7 linked regions of the Rattus norvegicus genome follow. The protein of the gene in region 6 interacts with the protein of the main gene of each other region in a pairwise test. Links are inferred from orthologs where the notes say so. Each region holds a gene or a part of one and is shown on either strand. Other genes may lie near its edges.

Evidence for each region.
Region 1: the proteins of Cep44 (region 6) and Cby2 interact in binary tests that used the Homo sapiens proteins (3 or more experiments, as listed by UniProt). The two-hybrid records come from large-scale screens. The link is inferred for Rattus norvegicus from reciprocal best matches to the Homo sapiens genes CEP44 and CBY2.
Region 2: the proteins of Cep44 (region 6) and Aqp1 interact in binary tests that used the Homo sapiens proteins (3 or more experiments, as listed by UniProt). The link is inferred for Rattus norvegicus from reciprocal best matches to the Homo sapiens genes CEP44 and AQP1.
Region 3: the proteins of Cep44 (region 6) and Rnf8 interact in binary tests that used the Homo sapiens proteins (3 or more experiments, as listed by UniProt). The two-hybrid records come from large-scale screens. The link is inferred for Rattus norvegicus from reciprocal best matches to the Homo sapiens genes CEP44 and RNF8.
Region 4: the proteins of Cep44 (region 6) and H2ap interact in binary tests that used the Homo sapiens proteins (3 or more experiments, as listed by UniProt). The two-hybrid records come from large-scale screens. The link is inferred for Rattus norvegicus from reciprocal best matches to the Homo sapiens genes CEP44 and H2AP.
Region 5: the proteins of Cep44 (region 6) and Pop5 interact in binary tests that used the Homo sapiens proteins (3 or more experiments, as listed by UniProt). The two-hybrid records come from large-scale screens. The link is inferred for Rattus norvegicus from reciprocal best matches to the Homo sapiens genes CEP44 and POP5.
Region 7: the proteins of Cep44 (region 6) and Txlna interact in binary tests that used the Homo sapiens proteins (3 or more experiments, as listed by UniProt). The two-hybrid records come from large-scale screens. The link is inferred for Rattus norvegicus from reciprocal best matches to the Homo sapiens genes CEP44 and TXLNA.

What each region holds. Positions count from the first base shown.
Region 1 is NC_086033.1:57,324,486-57,328,716, reverse strand, and holds the start of Cby2 (protein chibby homolog 2), read left to right. Parts: upstream 1-1,431; 5' UTR 1,432-1,485; coding exon 1,486-1,560; exon of another isoform or gene 1,561-1,699; intron 1,700-1,862; coding exon 1,863-1,943; intron 1,944-2,420; exon of another isoform or gene 2,421-2,620; coding exon of another isoform or gene 2,621-2,668; intron 2,669-4,231.
Region 2 is NC_086022.1:85,819,284-85,822,783, reverse strand, and holds part of Aqp1 (aquaporin-1), read right to left. Parts: intron 924-3,500; coding exon 759-923; intron 503-758; coding exon 422-502; intron 1-421. UniProt on the Homo sapiens protein: Forms a water channel that facilitates the transport of water across cell membranes, playing a crucial role in water homeostasis in various tissues.
Region 3 is NC_086038.1:7,693,965-7,697,464, reverse strand, and holds part of Rnf8 (E3 ubiquitin-protein ligase RNF8), read right to left. Parts: intron 2,442-3,500; coding exon 1,701-2,441; intron 1-1,700. UniProt on the Homo sapiens protein: E3 ubiquitin-protein ligase that plays a key role in DNA damage signaling via 2 distinct roles: by mediating the 'Lys-63'-linked ubiquitination of histones H2A and H2AX and promoting the recruitment of DNA repair proteins at double-strand breaks (DSBs) sites, and by catalyzing 'Lys-48'-linked ubiquitination to remove target proteins from DNA damage sites.
Region 4 is NC_086039.1:15,579,976-15,582,311, forward strand, and holds H2ap (huntingtin-interacting protein M), read right to left. Parts: upstream 1,056-2,336; 5' UTR 972-1,055; coding exon 618-971; 3' UTR 501-617; downstream 1-500.
Region 5 is NC_086030.1:47,039,233-47,043,450, forward strand, and holds the start of Pop5 (ribonuclease P/MRP protein subunit POP5), read right to left. Parts: upstream 2,801-4,218; 5' UTR 2,349-2,800; intron 603-2,348; 5' UTR 376-602; coding exon 356-375; intron 284-355; coding exon 141-283; intron 1-140. UniProt on the Homo sapiens protein: Component of ribonuclease P, a protein complex that generates mature tRNA molecules by cleaving their 5'-ends. Also a component of the MRP ribonuclease complex, which cleaves pre-rRNA sequences.
Region 6 is NC_086034.1:38,728,759-38,732,258, reverse strand, and holds part of Cep44 (centrosomal protein of 44 kDa), read right to left. Parts: intron 2,572-3,500; coding exon 2,449-2,571; intron 856-2,448; coding exon 688-855; intron 1-687. UniProt on the Homo sapiens protein: Centriole-enriched microtubule-binding protein involved in centriole biogenesis. In collaboration with CEP295 and POC1B, is required for the centriole-to-centrosome conversion by ensuring the formation of bona fide centriole wall.
Region 7 is NC_086023.1:147,266,474-147,270,622, forward strand, and holds the start of Txlna (alpha-taxilin), read right to left. Parts: upstream 2,801-4,149; 5' UTR 2,688-2,800; intron 2,238-2,687; 5' UTR 2,232-2,237; coding exon 2,066-2,231; intron 1,369-2,065; coding exon 1,030-1,368; intron 1-1,029. UniProt on the Homo sapiens protein: May be involved in intracellular vesicle traffic and potentially in calcium-dependent exocytosis in neuroendocrine cells.

The sequences.
Region 1 (4,231 bases), on a different chromosome or scaffold from region 6:
ACATATCACACACATAAACATGCCCGCACGCATACACACACACACACACACACTCCCACCACACACACATGCATGCATACACACACACACACACACAGAGGTGCATGTATACATACACATATCACACACATACACATGCATGCACACATCACACACACACACACACACTCCCACCACACACACTTGCATGCATACATACATAATCTCACACACACACACACACACACACACACACACACACACACACACACACAGAGTTAAGAAAAAGTCCTGAAGTTCCTTTGTAGAGACGAAGTCTTTGGCAATGGACGCACTTATGCTTTGTATATTCACATTGTCTTACACCGAGATTTGTTTGTAATTTGGGTATTTGGGACTCAAGTAGCCAATTTCAGAATCTCTGGATCTTCTGATCTTGGTTCACCACTCTCTCCATACTCCAAGGGACAAAATCACACAGAACTAAGTTACACACGGGAGCTCTGGAGGTAATGGGTCTGACAGAACTAAAGACGGAGGAACTGGATATTGTGGCCTTGAAGCAACTTCTACCTGTACTATAATTGTATACTTGTACTTTTCTATCTGAACAGCCTTAAATGTCCTGACAGGATCTCCCTTGGAGCACGTATCAGCTTATGCTACCTAGTGGAATGATGACTCTTGGAGGGTGGGGGATAGTTGCTAGAGGGGACAATCACGGGGTTAGAAAGTTGGAATTTTCAGCACACTTCTACCTCAGGGGAAGGAAGGAGTTGGCATTTAAATGATCAAAGACCAATGATTTCATTAAATTTGCCTACATAATGATATTCAACAGGATATACAACAGAATTCAGACACTGGTGCTGAAAATGCTGGGGGGCAGGTGGGTCCAGAGAAGGCCTGAAGCTACCCCGCCAATCTCTCATCCTGTTACTTCCGCAGGCCCCTACTGATCTGCTTCCTTCCCAGTAAAGCTGAGATCCTAAGTAAAAGCATTTTCCTCAGTTCTGAGAGCCAACTACTGAATGTGAGGAACAGGTCAGCGGAGCCCCTGATTTGTGGCTGATCACAGCTTGATCTGAGATTGGTCCCTCAGGTGAGGGTCATCTTGCAGGGCTGAGCCCCTAACTTCTGGGGCCTGCACAGTAACTCGATGTAGCTAGTATCAGAGTGGAGCTGAGCTGGAGTCCCTCAGTAGTGCCAGCCCTCCCCAGGTCCGAACAGCTCCTGTTTCTCCCTTCCCAAGTAATGCAGCTGGAGGAGCTGACACCTCTGAGGGGAAGTGAGCAGGAGGTTTCAAACCAGCCTGGCAATGAGCCTGAGCTGCAGCCTGCGGTGACCAAACAAGAGTGAATGTTGGGGCCATTGTGCGTCACACTGACCCTGGCTAGCCCTGTGGGCACAGCCAGCAACAACCCTTCCTGCTGACAGAAGCCTGCTTGCCACCCAAGCTGCTTAGAGAAAAACCATGAGCTCTGAAAACCACCATATTGTTCTGTGATGTCACCTCTGGAATGTTCTGAGTGTTTTGGTGACCAGCTTATGCACAGGACCTATACCTGGCACCTCACGTTGGTATGGCTACTTTCTTGATACGGAAATAATAGTTTAAGGCCGGGAAGAACTGCTTCAGGAACTTTCAACAGGGTTTTTATGTTTGCTAATTCCTGCATTGACTTCTGTCCGGTGATCAGTAAGGTTTCTTACTGGCCAGGTACCATCTACACAAATCTTTACACTGAGATTATTATTATTATTATTATAAGGTATATAATTAATTTGTAAGAAGTGTGTAAGCAGTTGTTTATTTCAGGTGAGCCACGGAGGCCCTGAAGGTGGGTTGAGGAGAAATCTAATTTTTTTTTTCTTTTTCGCAGCACTCGAGGCCAAATTTTACGAGAAAGAGAGAGATCAGATCTGAGAGCCTAGAAATTCCAATCAATGTGATTCTACCTCAGGTAGGGACAGTCACGGAAGGATGTAACTTACCAATTCTCGCTACAATAACCCTGTTTACAAACCTTATAGAATGAACAAGGAAGTCAGCTGTTTCAATTCTTGTCATGTTGGGTTTTCCCTGGTTGTGTGTCTGCGGGGAGGACACATGGTCTCTCTGGACCTTGGGATCCTCTGGCTTTAAATGAGGGGGCTGCGTTGACTATTCAAGTACCCCCTCTCCCCCCCACCCCCCCAACCTTTCAAGGTTTGGTGATACTGTAAGAAAAATCTAACTTGACCAAAGGAGACCCTTCATTATGTTTAACTACTCTGGAAATCTGTGGAGAACTCTAGCTTGAACTAGAATTGACATCTTATGCACGAGAATGAACCCAGGAGCTGACACAGAATGAACCCAGGAGCTGACACCCCAGCATGTGGCCCATTTGCAGCTGCCAAAAGAATTAATCCCTGTTGTGGGCCAAAGATGGGTACTAAGGAATGGATGTTCAGTTGCTCCTTTTGAGGCCAGTGAATGGTTAAACCCCTCGCAGATTGTGGTTCTTAGGTCTCCAGGCATGCAATAGCTTCCTTGGTGGGATGCCTTTGATTTGACTGTTTCTTCTGCTGCTATGTCACAAAGGGGTGGGCTTGCTTTCTCCAGAGTTACCTAAGAGCTCATTGGAAGACCAGGACCATGCAACCAGAGGGGGTGAAATGTAGGATGGAGGGACCCAAGACACAGGTAATTTGTCTAAAATTTGGTCCAGGGAGGTGTGTACAAAAGAGGATGGTTCTCTAATTGGTGTTCTGTATGAGTGTAACTGTAACCGGGTCAGCAAATATAGTCAGGCAAGGAAGCAGCCTGGAGACTTGTTTTCCTTACAACATTGGAGTGAGCAGCCACTTTTATATCTTGTTCAGCTCATGAAAGCTGAGCTAGAATATTAGGGAACTATGTTCTGATTGTCCTCTAGAACCTTGCAAGGTCTGATTCTTAATACGTACAACATGCATCTGCTACTGTGTGTGAGGATGGGCATGGTTCCTTTGGTTCCTTATATTAGGGGCACAGCTTTCTATCCCCAGTTCCCAGAATCAGCTTAACAGCCAAGGAGAAATGTGATTTGAGAAGTCTTGGGTTAATTCTGGTCCCCTGGACCTCCAGCCCCACTTCCTGTGCCGTAGGACTTGTGTAGCTATTTGGATTTTGGAGGGCAAAGGGATATGGAATGAAGGGGTCACTGCTGACTGGAGATTTGTTTCTCATGGCCAGATGTGGCCTTGAGTATGCCAGACAGGCTTAGTCACCAGTCTTCAATAGGTCAACTAAGCAATTGACTGATGTTGAAAAGCAGGAAGAGGAGATTTATTCAATGCTGCAATACTTGAAGGAGGAACAAAGAGGTCTAATGATTTCCCAGGTTCATCTTGGACATGAAGTTTGGGTTTCTTTAGTGGGCCAGAGATACCCATCCAAGGTGTGGTCCAAGCCCAGCATCAGTGTCTGAGCCTCAGGCTCTCCTGCAGGGTAGTCTGACAATAAGGGCTGTGTGAAATCCCTTTCTGAGAGACAATTTCTCTCTCTCTCTCTCTCTCTCTCTCTCTCTCTCTCTCTGTCTGTCTGGATGGCATGGGCCTTGAGCCTTTACCTTCTCCAAAAGGAAGGCTACTGGAGAAATTTCTTGGGGTCCATTGTTTCAATAATCTGATAGGTAGAAGGAAGGACATAAGTATCTTTTTCTGGAATATATTCATCACTACCTGGATGGTTACTGTCCCACCTACCATGGGGTCACAAGCCAGGCAACCTGTCAGGATACTTTGGACTGGTCCTCTTGGATTGGCAAGTAGTCATAGATAACTAGATGATGTAAACGTGCCTACCTCCCAGGCCTGTGAGGAAGTCCTCTCTGCCCACTGTACCTCCCCAGACAAGATAGTCAGGAGGACCCCTATATGCAACAAAGTGAGGAAGGATATTGATGGAGTGCTGCTGTCGTCATGTGTTGGCCACAGGGCTACACAAGTGTAAGGCAGAGATTTCACAGCTGTGGGAATTGGGAGGTTTAGTAGCAAGGACAGAACTTCCATTTAACCCAGGTCAGTGCTCAGCCTGTCACCCTGTTTACTGGGACCAGGTGATGTTATAGCTCTAGTTGTTCTCTTGCTTCTAGAAGATAGTGCCTCCCCTCCCCTCACCTGGATTGCTAAGCCCCAAGCTTCCTGTGTCTTTGTGCCCATGTGGTTTCATTCTGAGTTGAGCTCATTCTGTTTGGAAGGGAATTATAACTGTACCTCTGGCTCT
Region 2 (3,500 bases), on a different chromosome or scaffold from region 6:
CTTGGAAGGGTCCCAGAGATGGGCTAGCCTAATAGAAGGGTGGCCAGGAACACTCAGACCAACAGTAATTAAAGCTAAAGCCTACAAAGATGTGTCCTCTCTCATATCTCTGCTTGCAGTCATGGGTCCTCCCTCTCCTGATGGGAGAGGTAACGATTCTAAGTCTACTTCATTCAAAGTCTGGGAAACCAAGGCACAAAACCTTCCTGAGGTTGCTAAATCCAAAGGTGGCAGGGCCAAGATCTGTCACCACACTGTTAGTAGGTTGGAGCTGCCAGAGTAGAGATGACACAAATCTTTAATGATCTGAACCCCCTCCCTTTGTCTCAGGGTTTGTTCTTGATTTCCTCTGTCCTGCCTGTCTCCCAGAATCCCTGAGAGGAAAACAATGCCTCGCACCTGGCTGCCCATGGTGACTTACCCAGTGGTTTGAGAAGTTGCGGGTGAGCACAGCAGAGCCAAATGACCGGGCAGGGTTGATCCCACAGCCAGTGTAGTCAATCTGGAAGGAGAGTGTGTAAGGAGCAAGAATGTAAGGGAAATGACAGAGAGGATGGAGAATGAGAAAGAGCAGGCCAGGGGAAAATCAATCCCAGTGGATGATCAGAGAGGTCCCTGAGTCCTTTCCCTGTCACCAGAGGGGGTCTGCCATCCCACCCAGTGGAATTCCATCTGAAATACACAGACGCCCACACTAGCCCCACCCACCACCTCTTACCTTGGCCCAGACCTCCCCACCTGGGAAGCCCCTTACTTACGGCCAGCAGGTGTCCAAGAGCCACAGACAAGCCAATGGCAAGTGGGGCTGAGCCACCTAAGTCTCGGCGCCTCCGGTCAGTGGTAGCCAGAACGCACAGCACCAGCTGCAGGGTGCCAATGATCTCAATGCCCAGGCCCTGGCCGGAGTTCACACCTCGAGCCAGCTGCGGAGGAGAGAAGCCAGAAGGCCCAGTGACTTCCGGTGGCAATCATAACGAGATTCCCAGAGCACCAGGCCCAGGTACCACGAGACAGTCGTCAACCACATCCTAGCGTATTAGAGAGCTACTCACTGTGTGGCCTCAGAGGGGGCCGGACAAACACATAGCAAGTAACGACAAGGCCCCAGGGTGACTTGGGGCCTCTTTGTTGGCTACATGACAGGCCCAGTGTTACAGGGGAGAGGTGAGAGTCAGACACGGGAGGTGGTCAGGGATGTCTGTGGGAGAAGAGAAGTGTGGGTAGGAAGAATGGAGTAGAGATACTGCCTCACCCTTCCAAGTCCAAATCTTTCCCTTCTGCATCTCTTCTCTCCCCTCTTCTCTCTCCTGGCCTTGCGTTCCCTCTCTTTGGCTGCATGGCACCAACCATGGTAGTCTGGCTGTCCCCGCTCCTAAGCTACTTTAGGAAAGATGACTCATGGAAAAAGAAGGGAATGAGAACTGCCACCAAGTCTCTGGAGCCCTATGGTACCTGTAGCTGCCCTGAGAAGATCCCTCGCAGGGGATCCAGACCTCTGCTCCGGGTCAGGGAGGGGGTTGGTCAGGGGAGGGGGGGAGAGTGCTGAGGCCAGGTGCACCCCACAGAGCAGCTGAGGAGTCTTAGTGAGGATGCAGGATGCTTCCAGTGGTCTCCCTCCCTGAAGGGACAGCTGAGCCTCACCCCAACAGCTGACACTGAAGGCTCACTTCCAATTTCCCCACAGAGTGGTAATATCCCCAAAGCCACCTGGCATTCTTGGGGGGGGGGTCTTCCCAGTTCAGCCCTTAGGCCATCTCACAAGAACAATACTCTTCCCGCCTTTGTCTGCAGTGCTGGCTCTCAGGGAGTGACTCACATCCCTTCCACTGCCTTGAGGCCCCAGCTTTGGGCCTTTCCTGGCCAATGCCAAAGCTGTGCCCCCTCTGCCTAGTGAGCCTTCTGGGAGCAATGCCCAACTATCACCTGACTATAATAGAGGCAGAATCCCAGTGTTCGGGTTCTCACTTTTCTAGTCGGCACCATGAACATGCCTGTCTCTGGGCCTCAAGTTTCTCCATCTGCAAAATGGGTTTAAGGTCTCAGCTCCATCTAGACTCTAGAGCCTCCAGAAGATTCACAGGGCATTTGGAGAAGGCAGCAAAAGCGAGAAATAGCAGGTGGTAGAGATGGAAGTGAAGGATAGCTGTGTCTGCTGGCAGAGGCTGCCTCGAGCTGGGATGGCTTGATGGAGGAATGACTAGAAGTCCATGACGGCTATCTCTACGTCTGCCTGGAAAGCCCGTGGCCCTCATTGACATTCACGGCTTTTCTCCTTCCACACCCCCTCCTCTCTTAGGCTGGCCTAATTGCTGGCTGGCAGAAGTACTGTGAGGAACACTGCCTCACCAAATAATGGAACTGTCCCCAAGCTTCCTGCTCAGATCCAATCCCCACCCTGCCCTTCTCATAGATGTAGCCAGAGCCAGTTTATCTATCTCTTCCCCTGCTCTAAACTAGGGTTGAGTCCCAGACCCTATACAAAGAAGGTACCACTTTCTATCAACACAGAGCAGAGCAGGCCCTAGTTCCAGGCCCGGGGGTCTGAGTCCTCAGGAAGCAGGAGACAGTCATCTGGCCTGGGAACTCTGGAAGGGACCCAACTCCTGACAGCCAAAGCTGGCAGTCGTACCCTCCTGATGCCAGTGTTCACTACCATCCCAGCAGCAGCCACCTCGCTTGCCTTGGCAGCTGATGATGCCTGCTCTCCGCCCAATGGACTTGAGCTACTTATATCTGGGAAAACAGTGAGAGGGTTAGAGACAGTCGGTGGAAACTCTCTGTCCAGGAAAGAGCAGGTTTGAAAAGTCAAGCCATAGTGAGTGCGTATAGCCCACTACATTTCAAACAACTGTTTAAACAGGGCCCAAGCCCAGTCATTGTCATTTATCATGGGAGAAGATCCATGTTTGCACACGTGGGCAGAGTTTTGCCTGGATTTTCACCAACTAGAGTTGAAGGAGCAGCTCTTGGTTTTGAGAATGCAGGTGTGAGCGATTGAACAGGCCACACAGCTCTTGTGAAGCGTTCAAAGCTACTAATCACTAGACCCAGATGGGTTCACGACTTACAGCAGCGTCCAGACTCACCAGCTCTACTGAGCTTTCTGTGGGATGAGGTTTCTTTCTGCCTCCCTCTGCCACACCTTCATCTGAGCAGTTGGGTATCACTGAGAAGAGGAGTCCACCTGCCACCTAGCTGGGTGTTTTTGTCCCTCCTGGTCTGGGAGCCTTACCAGGGTTCTGCAAACCTTTGAGGGAAGGCTCATTGGGTGTGCAGTTTCCACAATTCCCAGCCTCTTTGTAATAGTGGATTCTAATGAAGGCCGATAGAGCAAAGGGCCTATGCTTTCCCAGGTAAGCTGGGAGACGATAAGCCAGCCAGTGGCCTTTGAGGCTCACATGTGAGAGGACAGAGCAGGAGAAGGCAGCGAGGCCTGGACCTTAGGGTTGATGTCACTTTGGGCTCATAGGAAGATATGCTGGCTACAAGGGGACCAGACA
Region 3 (3,500 bases), on a different chromosome or scaffold from region 6:
TCAGGACAGGGCTTCAGGCCGCACGCGGAGCGGCTCTGAAACACCACAGAGCAGTAGTCAGAATTTCTTTTATTGCCACATACTCAAATGGATGGAGTCTGAGAACTGAGGCACAAACATCTACGCTCAAATACATCCCCAAGGCCGGCCCCACAATGCTTCCGTCTTGTCCCTCTGCATGGACCTCCCTCTCCAAGGCACTCTCTGCCCTTTCTGCCCGCAGCCAGCAGACCAGCGCTCAACTATGGCCAGCTTCTTCCCTGCAGTTTGTGCTCTTGCTGCCTTAGGGATTACCTACAGGGTGGGGGATTTCCACTCACTTGTAATTAATGTGCCAACCATTCTTCCAATGTGTTGATAGGGGCATATCTTGTTTCTACAAGATAAATTACTTAATGATTTTTAAAAATTGGGCATTTCAATACCAAGCAGAATTCCAAACACGATGTCAGGCCAGGCTATCGTGAGGGCCAATGCAGCTAACACACAGCTTTCGGCACGCTGCTCAACAAGGCACTTCGGCCTTTAACCTTCTGCCCCAGAAAAGACTTTGCAGCTGTCTCTTCAGCACAGAATCGCCACAGATACTAATCACAGGAATACCCTCATCTCTGAACACACTGTCCTTTAAAGAGAATTCTGCTCAGTGAAGGTGTGATACCCCAAACAGCAGATACCACCCTCTGCTAACTTACAGCGGTCTGGGCTTGACAAGGGGAGCAGAAGCTATGTACACCCACCATGCGCGCCCTCCTGAGGCACTGCTGTAATCCATGGCTTTTGCTAGCCCTACGAGCTCAAGGAGATAGCAGAGGTGAGAAAGAAAAGGATAAACTCTTCAGAAACAAGCCAACACCACTACAGGCTGTTCCTTGCCCAGAGAGACTCAAGCAAGATAAAAAACCACCTCTGCACTTCAGCTGTGACTGGCCCTTTTTGGTTTTAAGTCAACAATAGGGAATTCTTGACATTCGCCATTACCTGAACAGCTGGGGTGGGAATGGCATGGTTCCTGCCCTGGGGAACTGACATTTTAAGCAGGAACAGATCAGCCCCTGCCTGAAGCTTTATGCAAGAGCTTGTCACCTAAGCGAATGGTCTGGAGTTGAGAACACATTTGCTCCAACATCTGTACCTCTCAGATACTTCTTTTAACTTCTGGTGGAGGATAGTGGCTTATCATTCCGCCAGTTGTGTGCCTCCCCATGGCATTCTGGTTGATCAAGACAGGAACAAAACCACTCTGTGCTGCCAGCCCCCACCCCCGAAATGAGCTAATCACACAGACAACCCACTGTTGTGTACACAAAGGCAGGGCACCTAGCTGACCTGCACCTGCTCGGAAAGCAAAGAGCAGAGAAGCCTTGAGGACATGGTTTGCTGCATCCTAACCTTTACCCAACCTCTCCCTGACTTGACCTCGGATCTGAAGCCCGTTTCCAAGCAGAGACCAGTTGTCTCCAGGCTGGCTGCTGCCGTCACCTTGCTCAACTGGGTACCCTGCCTGGCTTCTGACCTCACCAGTATGCTGAAACCCCAACCCTTCCCACCTCCTCCATTTCAGTTTCCCATTCTGTGTACTGTGCTTAGTTATTAGCACTGAGTCCCTGCTCCAGAGACAACTCTAGGCAGGAGCCCACTAAGCGCCTGCCCACCTGAGGCCCCGCCCACCTGAGGCCCCGCCCCCGCCTCTGTGGTACCTGGAGGTGCTGCTCCTCCTCCTGGAACGTCTTCTCCAGCTGCTCCACTCTTGCCTGCTGCTGAGCCTGCTCTGCGTACAGCTGGGACTGTAGGTCTCGCAGCTCCTTCTCCATCCTCACGACTTTCTTTGAGCTCCCCTTCCGGGCCTGCCTCTTGACGTTCAGGACAGCAATCTGCTTTTCTTGCATCTGGGTTTTCAGCTTGAGCATCCTGGACATGGTCATCTTAAACAGTTCTAAGCTGCTCTGAGATGCTGATGGGCTGCAGGCCTTCTGCTTCTTAGGATAGAGTTCGAGGACCTTAGGAAGAGTAGAGCAAGCATGAGGCCCCGCGGTCCTCTCACTCGCCTCAAGAGACGCCAAGGTAGGGCACAAACATCCCAAGGGCTGACTTGCCGCTTCACCTTTGCCGTGTAACTTCTCTGGCTCAGCGGGTTTACTGGAGCCTTTAGCCAGTGGGCACCTGAGATCTGAGGGGCCCTCGGCTGGAAGACTCTCTACCCCATCCGAACTGAACTTCCTCTTAGTTCTCAAGCCTTTATGTTTTTCCGTTGTGTGGTCATTCTTGGGGGCAAGGCAGGGAGCCAGACTCTCCCGGTCTTCTTCGATAACTTCGTATTCGTACTCCGCATGCTCCTTGCTTTCCAGAGGCACTCCGAGCTGGATGTGGTCTCCCTTACGGATGCAGTAACCCTGTAACGGCGCCAGACGCTCTCTGTTCAGCCAAACACCATTCAGACTCTGGGGAGAAAGACGGAAAAACAAAATAAGCTCATGATTTTCCCCCTCTTAACGGAATTTCTCTCTTGCTGCTACAAAACCTTCTGCCTTTTCAGAAGGAAAGCCCTTGAGGACAGACAGAGATGAAAGGTTCATAAAGCACCATCTTTGGAAAGAGCATTGTACGCACAGTGCTCTGGCTTTCTACCTATATGTCACATTCATAACTCCACAGAGAACCGCCCGTCTAACAGGCAAAAACCTCCCTCCTAAAGCACGGCAGCGCACTGAACGACGCTCAGACCCAATCACTCCCATTGACCTAAACTCTGGGCAATGAGTCAAGCTGGAGAAAGCGCTCCTAGGAGGGAAGCATTACCACAGCGAGCCCTAGCCAGGCTTGGGCAGGAGTCACCCAGGCTCTGCACCTCCCTCTCAGGGTACAAAGGCTATGGGGACAATGCCAATGCTCTGTCCTGGGGTGGGGTGGGGGGTGGGGACGGACTCAGGAACACCAGCGGCTGTGTACATGAGGCATAGTGGGCGAGCAGAGCCAGAGCTCCTACTGGAGCTCTCAGGCCAACACTTGGGGGTGTTCGCCGCATACGTTAGCAATGTCTCTTCTCTGTGTACTTTGTCTATAAAATGAGGAAGTCTGGTATCTACCCCACACTGCAATGCTTAGCACAGCACTCCAAAACCATAAATCTTTGCCCCCGAACTTCTTGTTTTAGTGAAATTACATTGTTAGGAGCATGGATCAGGAGGGGTTGAGCTCTGGGGTAAAAGCACACTAAGACCTGGCTCAAACCCCAACACTGGAGTCTTGCATTAGACTGCCTGCATTTCCAATGTGTCTATCATCTGAGAGCCGATGACACCCGGTAGACTTCCTGCTTGTTTTCTGGGTTGGTACAGTGGTTTGAATAGGAAAGGCCCCCATAGACTCATCATGTGTTTGAATGCTTGGCTATAGAGAGTGACACTATTAGGAGGTGTAGCCTTGTTGGGGGAAGTGTCACTGAGGAGGCAGGCTTTGAGCTCTCTTACACTCAAGCTACATTCAGTGTGACACAGACT
Region 4 (2,336 bases), on a different chromosome or scaffold from region 6:
CAAGACTAGATGTTTAACCATTTTACCTCTTCTAAAATGGATATTTCCTTCTGGCTTTGCCATTACACCATCATCAAGTGAATACTCTGTCCCTTATGCCTACTCATGTGACTCATGCAAACTGTCTTTACCCCTTCGCTGACACCCATTTCCTTCTGCTCTGAGACCTTTGCTCCCATGAAAGGTGGCTTCTGTTCATCAGCAGCATCTTCCAAGTTACCATACTGAAAATATAACTCTCCAGTGAGGCTACAGACTACTTCTGGTCTTCTCTGAGGCTTCTTTTGTACTCAGAGCCAACAAGGGAGCCTTCTCCACCCTCCTCTCTGCCCAATTCCCCCCACTGGGGTCATTACCCAGCCCACCCCCACTGAGAAGTACTCCCTCGATTCAAACCCCCACTCCTAAGCATAACTTCAATCTTTTATTCTTTCTTTGATATCTTGTGGATACCTCCAACTCAACGAGACAAACTGAAATAAGTCAGAACAAGTAACTTTCATTTAAACATTTTATTAGTATTCATGGACACAGGGGGCAGCCTCCTCTGCTATTAGCCTTCATGGTTCTAGCTGAGTTTGTGAGGCTTCCCACTCTTGGGTTGTGAACCCCATTCTTTAGCCATTCCTTCTGGGTCCAGGCATCTCATCAAACAGAGAGAAAGGCGCATTCTTGAAGGCTTGAGGGGGTTCACGGTCATTCTCTCTCTGTCTCTCTCTATCTTGTGAAATATTTTGCTGGCTGTTGATGTTGGCTTCGGAGCCCACCACCTCCAGGATGTAGTCGGTAAGGTAATCAAGCATGGCAAGGAGGAAGTCAGAAGTTGTGGAACCTAGGCAGGGGGTGTATTGCTCCTCCTGCAGTAGGCGGTACACATAGTTCACAGGCACCTGTACCTCAGGCCTAGAAGAAGGATCTTCCGTCTGCTTGTTGTCGCTGCAAGCCTTCTCTTGGCTCTTCTTCCCCGACATGATGGTTTGATGGTTTGGGCTCCGGTAAGCTCTGCCTGGTTCACCAGCAGGACTGGTTCTCTGAAGACAATGTTCAGTCAGGCCCATTGCACCCTCAACTTCTGCACCTCATTGGTCAGGAGCTACCTTTATGACATCTTAGGCTTTGAGATGTCATTGGTGCCTGGTGGGTTATGAGCTTTGACTAGGTTTTGAGCCTAGAAATATCTATCACAGCAATGTGACCACCTTACCCTGATTTTGAGGGGACTCTAACTCTTCTCAATTACACTTGAATTAACATTGTAGAAATAATGTGTTTTACTTGAAGCTGTCTGTCTTTACAACCTTTCATCAATTACAAGGCAGTGATAAGCATGTCAAATACATTTCCAGGTAGAGGCTTGACTGTCCTCTTCAAGCAGTGTTGAGACCCTTTTTGATTCAATTTACTTATTTAAATAGGCTTGGTTAACAATCCTGTACACATTTGAATATATTCATTCATATGTTTATTCAGTATCATAGATATTCAATATCCACATGAGTTTTATCCAATTTCCAAAACATCTCTTTTTGGAGAGGAAATGCTTGGTGTGTTTCTGGTACATAGATGTTGGTAGCTATACTTTGTGTTCTATTTAAGTCTGGATATTGCTTTCTTGTTGTTCTTTCTGTTGGGTTAAAGCCAAGCTCCAGTATACATATTTTATTTCAATTTTCCTTTCTATTACTATCTTGTTTCTGTATTTTTGTTGTGTTTTGGTTCACTTATAACCAGTAACTCCTACTCCAAAAGATCTATAGTGAAAGGAATCTTCAATCAAGTCAATATCAAAACCCAAATATGTAAAACTTTATTGGATATCAGGGCAGAACAATAAGCTCATGAGATGTGAGACCACTGATCCTGGCTCTATTGATTTCATAACTTTATCTATAGCCAGATTTCTTCCCTCCGAACTCTCTGATAATTTCTTTTAATCATATGTCCTTGGCACAAGGTTACAAGTGAGTAATCTTAGCCACTATTGTTCTTCACAAAGCTTAAAAACCCCACAGATTTCTGTCATTTCATCTTCTGTCACCTTCAATCTAATCTGACATTAATTCTGCTGATATATCATTTTCCAAAGCTTACAGATCTAAATGACTCATTTCATCAGACATTAGATTCTTTCACAGGTCCTTAATCAAAGTAAAAGGTAGTCATGCTTCAGCCCACACACACAGAGAGGCTAAGTAACAAGGAGGGCTCTAGGGGTAATGACTGGATTTCCCTGGGAAGGGGATATAGAATAGATTATGTGGGTAGACTGGAGGTTGGTAGTGAGTGAACAGGAGAAATCAGGTTGGGGAGGAAGCAATGGATGGAGAGAGTACAAG
Region 5 (4,218 bases), on a different chromosome or scaffold from region 6:
AACCGGCATTTTCTGCTCTGTTCTGGACTCGCCGCACTCTTGCTTTTCTAGAACCCTCCGCTCTCGTACAAAACGCGGCACATGGCCCGGGCCTTCCCCCGCAAAGCGCGCCCCGCACCCCACCTGCGGCGCCCTCGCACCTGCAAAGCCCACGGAGCAGGCGGCGGCGCCGAAGGCCCCGTGCACCCGGGCGATCGTGTCCCGGACGAGCCCGCCCAGCACGCGGTCGTCCAGGCTCAGGCGGCAGCGCGGGTCCTCGGACACCAGCTCGCACAGAAGGTACCTGCGGGGGACGGCGGGGTGAGCGCGGCACGCGGGGAAGGCGCGGGGAACGCACACGGAGGGCGCTGCTTACCTGTGCTTGAACCGCACCATGGCGTCCGCGCCGGATGCGGGAGGAGGGCGGGACTAGGCTCCAACAGGCCGAGAGCCCTGTCAATCTCCACGCTCCGCCTCTCGCGGCGAGCGTAAGAGCGCATGCGCCCGCCTCAGGCAGGCGCTGGGGATTTTGCGCTCAAGTTCTGTGTGTACTTTGGGTCGTCCAGTGAACGTTTGCGGACATCCTTGCACTTAAAGCCCGAGAGTGTCACGGGAATTGGGACCTGAAAAAAACCAGGACAGAAGTTTTACCATACACCCAAATACGCTAATTCTTTGAGAGGATTTTGACAGTTTTGTGGAGGTGAGTTTTGTCAAGTGGTTTGCAAAAACAATATAGTACCCTTCCTCTCTTCTTTGTCTTCTTTTCCACAAGCTAACCCCAGACTGTGTAACCAAGAACGACCCGGAACTTCTGTAGCCCTGCCTTTTCCTACCAAGCGCTAGAATTACCAATGCACTCCACTACACCCAGCCCTCTTTGTTGAGAATAGAGAATTAGGTTTTTTAATGCGTTTTTTTAACCCATTAATTTCAATATCTTTGTGTAATTGTTGTTGTTGTTGTTGTTGGGGCTTTGTTACAGGGTTTCTTTCTGTAGCCCTGGGTGTCCTGGAACCAGCTCGGTAGACTAGGCTGGCCGGGAGATCTGCCTGCCTCAGCCTCCCAAGGGCTGGGACTACAGGCGTGTACCACAGACGTGTACCACCGTACGCGGTACACTTCACTGATCTCTACATTAAGCGCATATTCTTTTTTTTTTTTTTTTGGTTCTTTTTTTCGGAGCTGGGGACCGAACCCAGGGCCTTGCGCTTCCTAGGTAAGCACTCTACCACTGAGCTAAATCCCCAGCCCCTTAAGCGCATATTCTTAATGATGCGACTGAATAATGTGGATTTGTGCGACCAGCGCCCTATTAAGATGTAGATAAGGGGTTGGGGATTTAGCTCAGCGGTAGAGTGCTTGCCTAGCAAGCGCAAGGCCCTGGGTTCGATCCCCAGCTCCGAAAAAAAGAAAAAAAAAAGATGTAGATAAGCTTCAGGGCTCCCTGAATTCCCAGGCCCTTGGCAAAGCCTTTAGTGAGAAGGAGCCATCATTCCCATTTCTGTAGAGATAGGTTTTGCAAGGTCGAGGCCTGGACATATATATTTTGCAGCATACCTGCACCATGCAACATGCCTGTAAGTCTGCTGCTTCACTCTCTTTTCCTGTCGCCGGTGCTGCTACAGACATTCCTCGTGCACACAGTATTGCCATGTTTAAATGCGCCACTAAGGCGGTCAGGATCGATAGACCTCATATAGATTGTCTACAGATTTTCTTGTTATCCTGGGTTTCTTGGGGCCAGGCTTTGTTGTAGCAGGGTAGTTTTTAAGAATTGGACTTATTTTATCTGCTGTAGAAATGTAGATGTGTGTATTCGCCACCGCTGGAAGGTGGAGATCAAACTCCGGTGGTCAAACTTGGCTGCCAGTGCTCTCACCTCTTAATTTTATTTATTTTATGTATGTGAGTGCACTGTCGCTGCCTTCAGACACACCAGAAAAGGACATAGGATTCCATTACAGATGGTTGTGAGCCACCATGTGGGTGCTGGGAATTGAACTCAGGACCTCTGGAAGAGCAGCCAGTGCTCTTAACCGCTGAGCCATATCTTCAGCCCCAAGACTTATTTCATAGCTGACTATCTGCAAGATCCGAGATCTCAGTCTTCTCCTGGCCCAAAACAGCTTTCGGGGACCACAGATCTCCATTGCCCACCACCAGAGTCCTCCTAGACCGGTAGGGGGTGCCAGAGGCCCACGGTGTGCCGGAGCTCGCCACGCTCCCGCTTCCCTAAAAATAGTATCAGTCTCTGGATCCTAATCCTGCGCCCATTTTATAGATACGGTACAGGTTCAGAATTTAACCCTGCAAGCATTTGCCTCCAAAGTCCCAGCTCCGGTCCACTCCAGTGCTCACTTGCCTACCTTGGAGTAACGTAGCCACAGCCGTGGGTTCAGATCTCCTGTCCTGTACTCTGGTCCGGTGCTGTCAGGGACGACACCGCGTCTCTAGAGCTCAGCTTTCCCTTTTAGTTCCGATTATTAGGAATTATTAGGATGGTGGTGTAGGTGGAATTGCATTGGCACGGGCGGGCGAGGTGAGGGCCTAGTAAACAAACGGCGGCGAGTGGCCGCCACCCAGAGGAAGCACCCGGATCCGGGGCAGCCGGTCGGTGCGGGCCAGACGCCTCCCAGTGGGCCGGCGGCGGCTCAGCCTCTCCCGGTGGTAATTAGCCCCCGCCCTCGGCTCCGCCAGCCTCTAATTACAGGTCTCCTAATGAGGCCGGCGGCTGTTTGCAATCACCCGGGTCCCCGCCGCGCGGGGGCGGGAGCCGTGGGCCGGCGTCAGGCGGAGGAAGGGGCTGAGGCTTAGAGAGGCGGACGCACGCACGCAGGCAGGCAGGCAGGCATGACTCACACGGGGATGGAGCCTAATCCCCGCTGAGCCCAAACCCGTTCGCCGCGGCCGAGCCCATTCTTCACCCACCGCCCGCATCCTGGGGTGGTGTCGCTTACTAACTATTATTACCGTGGGTCTGGAAAAACCAGGTCAGATGGTCAGATGTGCGTGGGTCAGGGTGAGTGGAGCTTGGGTTCCCTCCTCTTCGGGTTTGCCATTCTCCACTCAAAAGCTGGCCCTTGGGTCAAACACAGAACCAAAAGGTTAGCTCCGGCAAAGCCTTCTAAAAAAAACCTATTCACGGGGTTGGGGATTTAGCTCAGTGGTAGAGCGCTTGCCTAGCAAGCGCAAGGCCCTGGGTTCGGTCCCCAGCTCCGAAAAATAGAAAAAAAAAAAAAAAAAAAACTATTCACTCAACTGCCATCAGACTAGAAGTTTGGATAACGCCTTAGGAAAGCTTGGGGTAGTTGCTAAAATGGTCAATTAGGGCTCAGGTGAGATGGTGGGGAAGGAGGCTTGCCGGCAAGCCTGAAGATCTGCGTTGGATCTCAGAGACTGGCATAGTGGATGTCCTAGAAAGTTGTCCTCTAACCTCCACCTGTGGACACGTGCCTCCTCCTACAGAAACATAATGACATGGAGGGGCCAGGGGCAGCGACAAAGGTGTGTGCACCTTCCCTGAGCCTTGGCTCACCCTTGTCTTCTTTGAGATAGGGTCTCCCTGGCTGGCCTGAGCAGCACTGTGTAGATCCTGTTATCCTGAAACTCACAGAGGTCCTCCCCTCTCTGCCTCCCGAGGGCCGGAATGAGAGGCATGAAGTACTAAGCTACTAGGCCCGGCTTTCGGGTGCTTTTATTTTGAGGTGCTGGGGGATGTGTTGTGGGTGCTTGGGCAAGTGCTCTGCTGCCAAGGGACACCCCCAGCCCTGATGTTTTCCCAGGCACGTTGGCATCCGGGGAGTCTCTTTTAGAGTCTAGATGCTGCAGCCACGCGGGATTCTGGCCCAGGACGCTTGAACCTGCTTGGTAGTTTTCCCAGCAACCACTGCTCTGTGCCTCTAACTGTATCCTTAAGACTATTAACTAGTTTTTTTCTTGGTTTTTTGTTTTTTAATTTAAAAAATGTTTATTTGCGTCGGCGTTCCTTCTCCAGGTGAGTGAGTGTGAGAATCTCTAGAGCTGAAATTCCAGACAGTTGGGAGCCGCCATGTGAATGCTGGGATTTAATTCGGGTCCTCTGGAAGAGCAGCCAATGCTCTTAACCGCTGAGCCATCTCTCCAGCCCCGTTTGGGAATGGAGACAATTTAAGTAAAGTCGAAGTTTCTATTTGCTTGGCCAGGGGCCTGGAGAGCCACTGTATGGAGAAGGCTAGAGCACATTTCCTTCCTGAACGT
Region 6 (3,500 bases):
GTCATTACTTATTTATTTCTAGGTACTAGCAATGACTAGTACCTAGAGTGTCACATAGTACAAAGCAGTCCTATAAATAAAATAAACTTTCATAAATCCAACTGTAACTCAAACCATATAAAGATCACAAGACATGAGTACTGTATCAGAAACAGTAGAGATCATATACATAATGGTACTTGTGTCAAGAAGGAGTAACAGAAATTAGCAAGGAGTTGGGTGGGACAGCACACATCTGTAACTCTACCACACAAATCGCCAGGCAGAGGGGTTTTGCAATTAGAAACTACCTTGAGCTACAGAAAGTCAGCCAAGGTTACATAGTGAGATTACGCCCCATGGAGACAATATAGCAAACACTTAGCAAAGGGAAAATGGGAATAAAATGCCAAGCTTACAAGTGGTAGAGAATTCCGTGCGAAGCGGCACATCTCTTCTGCTGGATTGTAATTTCCCAGGTACAGGTACCTTTTTTTTTCATTTCTCTTTACTTTACTTCTAACTCAGGAAGAAAACTGCAAACAGATCTGACAACTGGAATCCACTAACTCCCACTCAGTAAGATTGATGTATTCTTAAATAATAACATAGATATCATAATTTAAGAGTTGAGTAGCAGTCCAGTTTTCAAAGACTGAAATAAGCACAGACAGAAAGCAGTATGTTAAGGAGCCCCTCAGTCCTCACTTGCAGCTCAGCCTTGACCTCAGGGGCCTGCGCCTCAGGAATGCGTATGTCAGAACTCTGCTCTTCCAACTCATCGCAGCCTTCACTCACTTCTGTTGAGGTTACTGTCCCTTCAGGAACACCAACGTTCTCTTCAGTATACAGGTGACGGATCACCACAGCCTTCTTCTGCAGAGACAAACACCAACATTTACCTCCATGGTTTTACTGTCACAATTCCTTTAAGTATATTCACAGGAATTATTCTCTAGACAAACTATATAAAGATTTAAAGACATTTGAATTACCATAATAATGTATCATAGTTTAACATGCTAATATTAACATATTTTATAAGTGCTTGGGAGACAAAGTCTAGCTTTTTAGAAGCTTTCTAATGTCTTAGGTTAAATACTGAAATATATTTTAAAGATGTTTAGTTTTATTTCAAGATGATGGAGAAAGTCCTTACAGTAAAGATGAAACACGTTTAGCAAAGATGTGATTGCTAAAACAGGTTCATCTGTGCTTTTGTAAATGTTTAAAATATTACATGATGGAAAGTTAAAACAAAAACCAAAAGAAAAAGAACAAAATAAAAATAACTATTAGGTGTGGTAGCACACAGCCATAATCCCAGCATTCACTAGGCCCAGACAGAAGGGTTAGAAAGGCCAGGCCAACCTGGGCTATATAGTGAGATTCTGTTAATGAATAAACAAACAGTATCCATGAATCCAATATGATCAGAATAGTCAAATATTTATATTTTCATAAATGTTTAACTCTTCTTTTGTGGTATTATCCTCATTTATTGTAAGATTAAAAATATTGTACTTTAAAAAAAAAGAAACATTTTATATCTTTTATCTAATTATACATTGATTATTAGTCTCTATTCTGTCCTTTTACCCAGAAAGGAAAATATCTGGAAGTACATTTATAATTAAAATGGAATATTAGCTTAGAGTTCCCCTTGGATATGAAAAACTGCTATCTCTAAATGTATTAGATTCGTTTAGCCACAGGAGCTCAAACCAGACAAAGACAGAGACAATGTATATCTAAAATAAGGAATACTCAAAACCAGATTACAAGGGAATCTATACTCTTGGTTTTCATTGCAGCTAAATGAATCTTCATAATCACTGTTGTTACTAACGGGTTACTTAATACATACACACCCCTTTTAGGGTGATCGGATATGTAATTATGAGTATACACCGAGGGCTTGGAAAGATATCTCAGGTTAAAAACACAAACTCTTGCAAAAGGCACAGGTTTGGTTCCCAGCACCAGCACTCACATGGAAACTCACAACCATGCATGACTCTAGTTCCAAGGGATATGACTCACTCTTTTGCTTCCTTCTGATATACAACCACATAAGATAAAAAGGATATATTACTTAAAGCATGCCAATGCCTCTATAATATAACCTTACTACATTTTATCTGAGAAATGAAAAAAAAGGATTCAACATTAGAAATATAAAACATATTCAATTTTTCCTCTTTACACTTCTCACAAGTTTAGGAATGGTCCCCAAACATGTGCGCTAAGAAGTCACCTGCTGAGACTGCAGGGAGGAAGGGGAAGTGGGATAAGAGAGAGCCACAGGGAGTGGATATGATCAAAACACATAAATAAATGAAATAAAGGCCTTTGAGAACACTAGTATGCACTACTAAAAACATCATGTATCCTGCGCTGCCTGCTGCAGGGGAGAAATGTATCTTTACTGTCTGTCTGCAGATGCCTCTGTTCCTTTTCTTTCCTCACCTTTCCTGATGTCATAAACCTGCCCGTGACGTCAATGCCAACCGCCTCTGCAGGGCACTTCTCACGACTTGAACAAGGTTCTGGCTTCTCAGAAATGCTCTTCTTCCTTTGGCATGATGAATTCTAAGAAAGGAAAAGGAGTAGACAAAACAATACAGTGTGTAGGAAAGTGTGAGGCACATTGTCATTCTATTAATACTTAGTTCTGATTAACAGCCAATAGTCAAAGTAATGCAGCATGCTTTGTTTAGTTGTTTCTTGTAAATTTGGGAGAGACTAGTATGGTGGTGCTGCAATCCCACACAGAGAAGACTGTGGAAGGAGGGCTGAGGCCAGCTTTAGTTACACAGAAAGTATAAGGCAACCTGGGTTACATAGTTAAAAAACAAAAATGAACAAAAAAAAAATTAAAAAGTGTCAAAAATATATTATCTTTGAACTGTTAAGTTACAGATCATAGATACGTAAGACACGTGACTAGTATGGGAGAAATTATGGTCCTTGACAGGGTTATTCCCTATATGTGAATAATGGAGCAACTGTGGCATCCGATATGTGGGCTGTATGGAGCAATGAGATTTACATTAAGTAGGTACTTATGGCTTTAGGTCAGACTGTGGGACATCCTAGCCTTGCAGTGACCTGTCCTCAGCAAGAAGCTAGCTGGGAAGCATTTATGTCCTATAGAGGAGATTCTGAGACATGAAAGTTAAAAAAGTTAAAAGGAAGGACTCTTCCTCTGTGGTTTACACATTTACGTCCCATCGAATTCCCATCTTGGTTCTACACAACCTTTTTTTTTTTTTTTTTTTTTTTTTTTTTTTTTTTTTTTTTTTTGGTAGAAACTAATCCTAGTTCCTAGATATGCCTTTGAAATTCCTAGACAATTACTCATATAGCATTAACACCAAGAATTCCCTTCAGTTCATAAAACACTCCAACAAATAACAGATGGAGTATTCACCCACCAAGCTTAACTGCCCACTCCCTTCCCTTGCTTTTGCTTCAGTAAGTCTGTCTCTGTGCTTAAGTCCCTTCTAATGCAGCCCCTG
Region 7 (4,149 bases), on a different chromosome or scaffold from region 6:
CGCACGCGCACGCACGCGCACACACGCGCACACACGCACACACGCGCACGCGCACACACGCGCACACACACACACACACACACACACACACAAAGAGAGGGTATTGCTATGTAGCCCAAGCTGGCTTTGAACTCAGCATCTTCCTGCTTCTGTTCCTCCTAGTTCCCCATTAGAGGCATACACTACCATATTTGGTTTGCATTAGGTTCTAAGTTCGTATTTTCACATTGTCCCATCACTCCTGTCCTTTGTTTGTGATAAGGTTTCATTATGCAGCTGGCTGGTCTGGTACTCAGGAGATGCACTTGCTCCTGCTTCTCAGGTACTGAGGTTAAAGGTGTACGCCATGGTGCCAGGTTGCCACTGCCTTGCTTTACCTCAGCCGGGAAGCCTTACAGCTGTCTCCCTTGGGTTCCACTGTACTCAGCACAGACCAGGTTCTGAGCTGTCAGCCCTGGGAGGCCCAAAAGGTAACACGGAGATGGCAAATCCAACCAATGGAGGCCTCTGCTTACTTTCTATTATTTTGGTTACCAATTATTCAGCTGGTCAGATGCGACTGGGGGACTAACCAGGTAGGAGTCAGGTTTTCAGATCAAGAAGGCCCTTTCTTGATTCTGAAGAGGTCTGTGGCTTACCTGGTCCATGTTGATATTTCAACCTTGGTGTAGCCCAATTCTATTGCTGTACAAACAGGGAAACTAAGACCCTCTCTAGGAGTGGAGAATAAACATGCCCAAAGTCAAACAGCAGGTTGAAAGTGGTGTTGTCGAGCACTTAGGCCTCCCTCCGGTTTTCCATATTCCCAGTGAGAAAGCTAGTTGGATTCCTGCCTCCACTTGGCTCCCAAGGCCAGGAGGCCTTGCACAAGTGAGTGATCTGAACAGCTCAATGGGATGACCCCATCTTTGACTAAACTGGGGGGATGTACTGTCTTGAAAAGCAGATTCTCTTGTGTCCAGACAGAGCAGGCTAGCCCATGAGATGGCAAGTGTTCACTCCCTCCCGTCAGCAGGAGCTCCCCCTCACCTAGACCCTTGGCTTTCTTCTTTTCCTGTGGCCTTCGAAGGTCTCGGTCTCCAACCTCGTCACTTGCTCGGATCTCTTCTGTGCCAGGCTCCCCCTTAGAGGTCTCTTTCTCGCCATTGACGACTGGAATGCCCGGTTCAGGCTCCCCATTCCTGGCTGCATAGGTTCGGGACTTCTCTGTGTCTTCAGGCTCAGTGGGCTCCCCCTGAGCTCCCTCCTCACCTGGGCCTCCCTGATTGTTGTCCACACAGTATGTACTCAGAATGTCTTCCAACTGTCGGCTCAGCTCCTCAGAGACATCACAGAGGGCCCCAGACTGAGATGCTTTAGCTCGAGCGCCTACAAGATGAAGACAGTGAACGTTAGGTGGTTACACCGCTCCCTTGGGTTTTCTTCTTCTTTAAGCCCAGACAAACACCACTTGTGTGGGTTAAACGTTCCATTTATTTATTCAGTTGAGACAGGCTCTCTCTACAGGGCCTTGGCTGTCTGGGAACTCACTATGAGGATGAGGATGACCTCAAACTCAGATCTACCTGCCTCTGACTTCTGGGTTCTGAGAACAAAGGTGAGGGCCACTATGCCTGGCCTCAATTTAATTTTTTTAAACCCTAAGTCGTATAAAACGTTTTTATAAGACGAAACAATTATTTCTAACACCCAAACATACTTGTTATGACCATCAAAGACAACTGTGTAAAGCACCCCTACAAGAGGGACGACTGACGTGTAGCAGACGCTCTGTCTTATGAAGGACAATTAATCACCGGGCACTGGCAAGTGGGAATATGACTTTGCTTATGGGGCGCCTCATTTGATTGTCATTTGGTTTAAACCAGTCAGAGCATGCCCCCAAGGTTCCGTTCCAGGGCTAAGAGTGGAAAGCTTCATCACCTCCCTAGGAAACATGAGGATCACAGAATGGGCATTGTTTCATTCTATAGTTCCTCCTTCCTGGGTAAATACTGGCCTCAGATAGATGCAAGTACCAGAAACTCCTCCCTCTGCCCACTGGAAAAGCAGAGCTGGCACACACCCTCGGTCTTCCCAGGAGCCTGGCTTGTGGAACCTTCAGCTTCCGCACCAGGAGCTGTCTGTCTGGGCCGTCCATGAGCTCCCTCCGGTCCTGCTTCCCGTTGCCCAGGGCTGTTCTTCGGGTTGGAGTGTTTGGCAGGCCCATTCTTTTTGTCTTGGTTCTTCATTGTGATCTGCAAGGCCAGAAAAGGGGTAGATCCTTTACGGACACCGCTGCTATTTTCTAGACTTCAAAATTCTTCACAACCTAGATGAGAAATCTCCAAATCTGAAGCTCTAAGCTTCAAACAAACTGGTCGGCCTTCGCCTGAGACTTCACGGTCCCGGGCAAGGTTTCCGAGAAGCTGCACCAGCACAGAGTGAAGGAAGGAAGAGGCCTCCCTTCTCCTGAATGCCACTTCTCAGCACCACACGGCTCCCTCTCGGCAGCGGGAGCGCGGGATTGGCTCAGAGCCGCAGACTGACGTGGCGGGATGCTCCAGTCCCGACCGGCCCCCCGCCCCACCAGGTCCCACGTGGGATTCCCGCGCGCGCGCGCGCGTACACAGAAGACACCCACACCCCACGCGCCCTCTAGACCCGAAGTACGCATGCGCAGCACGGCAGCACACAACTCTCCCCACCCCGTCCACAGAATTAGTTGTTCCTCCGCGGCTAACGCGTCCTGGGTCATGGACCCTCTGAAGAGCTCGTCCCGTGTACAGCCCAAAGACATACTTCACCGCGGACGTCCGACCGCGTCCCCGACTCTGGCCGAGCACCGGAAACCTGGGTAACTGCTGCCAGCTGGACCACCCTCTCCTGCGGCAGCCAATCAACAGCAAACGCTGGCGCGGAGCTTGCTGGGAAAAGAGGCCAAGGCGGCTTTGGAGGCGGGAGTGGGAAAAACTACGAGTCCCTTCATGCCTTGCGGCAGGTCACAACTCCCGAGATGCAACCGAAAAGCTTAGGAGCCAAATACCCTGAGGGTCCGAAATTATGTCATTCGGTCTAGAGATTCGTGTCAGCCTCCTTCCTAGTACAGAAACTATGATTGGCCCTTAAACTTTGGCAGTCTGGATTTTTTTTCATACACTCCCTTATGAACATGTATGACTATTTTAGGATCTCTGAGGACTTGCGAGTGGAAGAGAGAAAGAAGGGTAAACTGTGAATTAGGAGATATTTATCTCACGCCCAAACCACTAATTTGTTATGTGCCTAGTATCCCTCCCCTCTCCATTCCAGTAGAAGGTTTATAATAATCCAAACAATGTGTTCTTCCCTCGTATGTAATAGCTTGGTCCTCATAATTACTCAGAGAAAGAACATTATACTCAGAGATCTGGGAAATATAGGGCAGTACGGAAAAGGCTAATTAAAAGAAAAAAGTATGTACTATTGTTTGTTAGAGACAATGTCTCATGTGTGGCTTTGGCAGGCCCCGAATTCTCTAGGTGTATCAAATTGGCCTTGAATTCAAGAGTTCTGCCTGTCTTTGTCTCTCCAAGACTGGGACTAATGGCACGGGCCACCATGCCCAGGTAAAGGGTAAATAATCTATGGCTCCATCCATCAATACTGTGTGCTTATTGCGGATTCAAACCTGGAAGCCTGACACCACCCATCCTTTTCTTAATCTTCTCCCCAGTGCCCCATTCCATTCCACCCAGCCCAGTCAGGGTTTCTCCGTGTAGCCCTGGCTGTTAGTCTTTGACTATGCTGGCTTCTACCTCAGATCCAACTAAAACCCATCTTAACCATTCTCCGCCATCACAGGCTTTGAGACCAAGTATGCCCCGCCTTCTGACATCACCAGCTTGGATCCTCAGGAGGGGATTGTAGCAAGGAGGTTTGGCTTTAGGCGGATTGGTAAACTCCCACTCAGCCCTGCCCCACTTTCTGCAAAGTACCACGTGCTCCTACATGGGCTAATGCTTTAGAAAGTTAGATTTTGTCTTTGTTCATTAGGATTTTCGATGCTTAGATCATTCAAAAACAAACACAATTGTGATTTCAATTATTTACTTGTTTGGAGTTTGCTATGTTTGATAAGGTCTTGCTTTCTAGTGCTGCCTGACTTGGAACTCGCTATATAGATCAAGC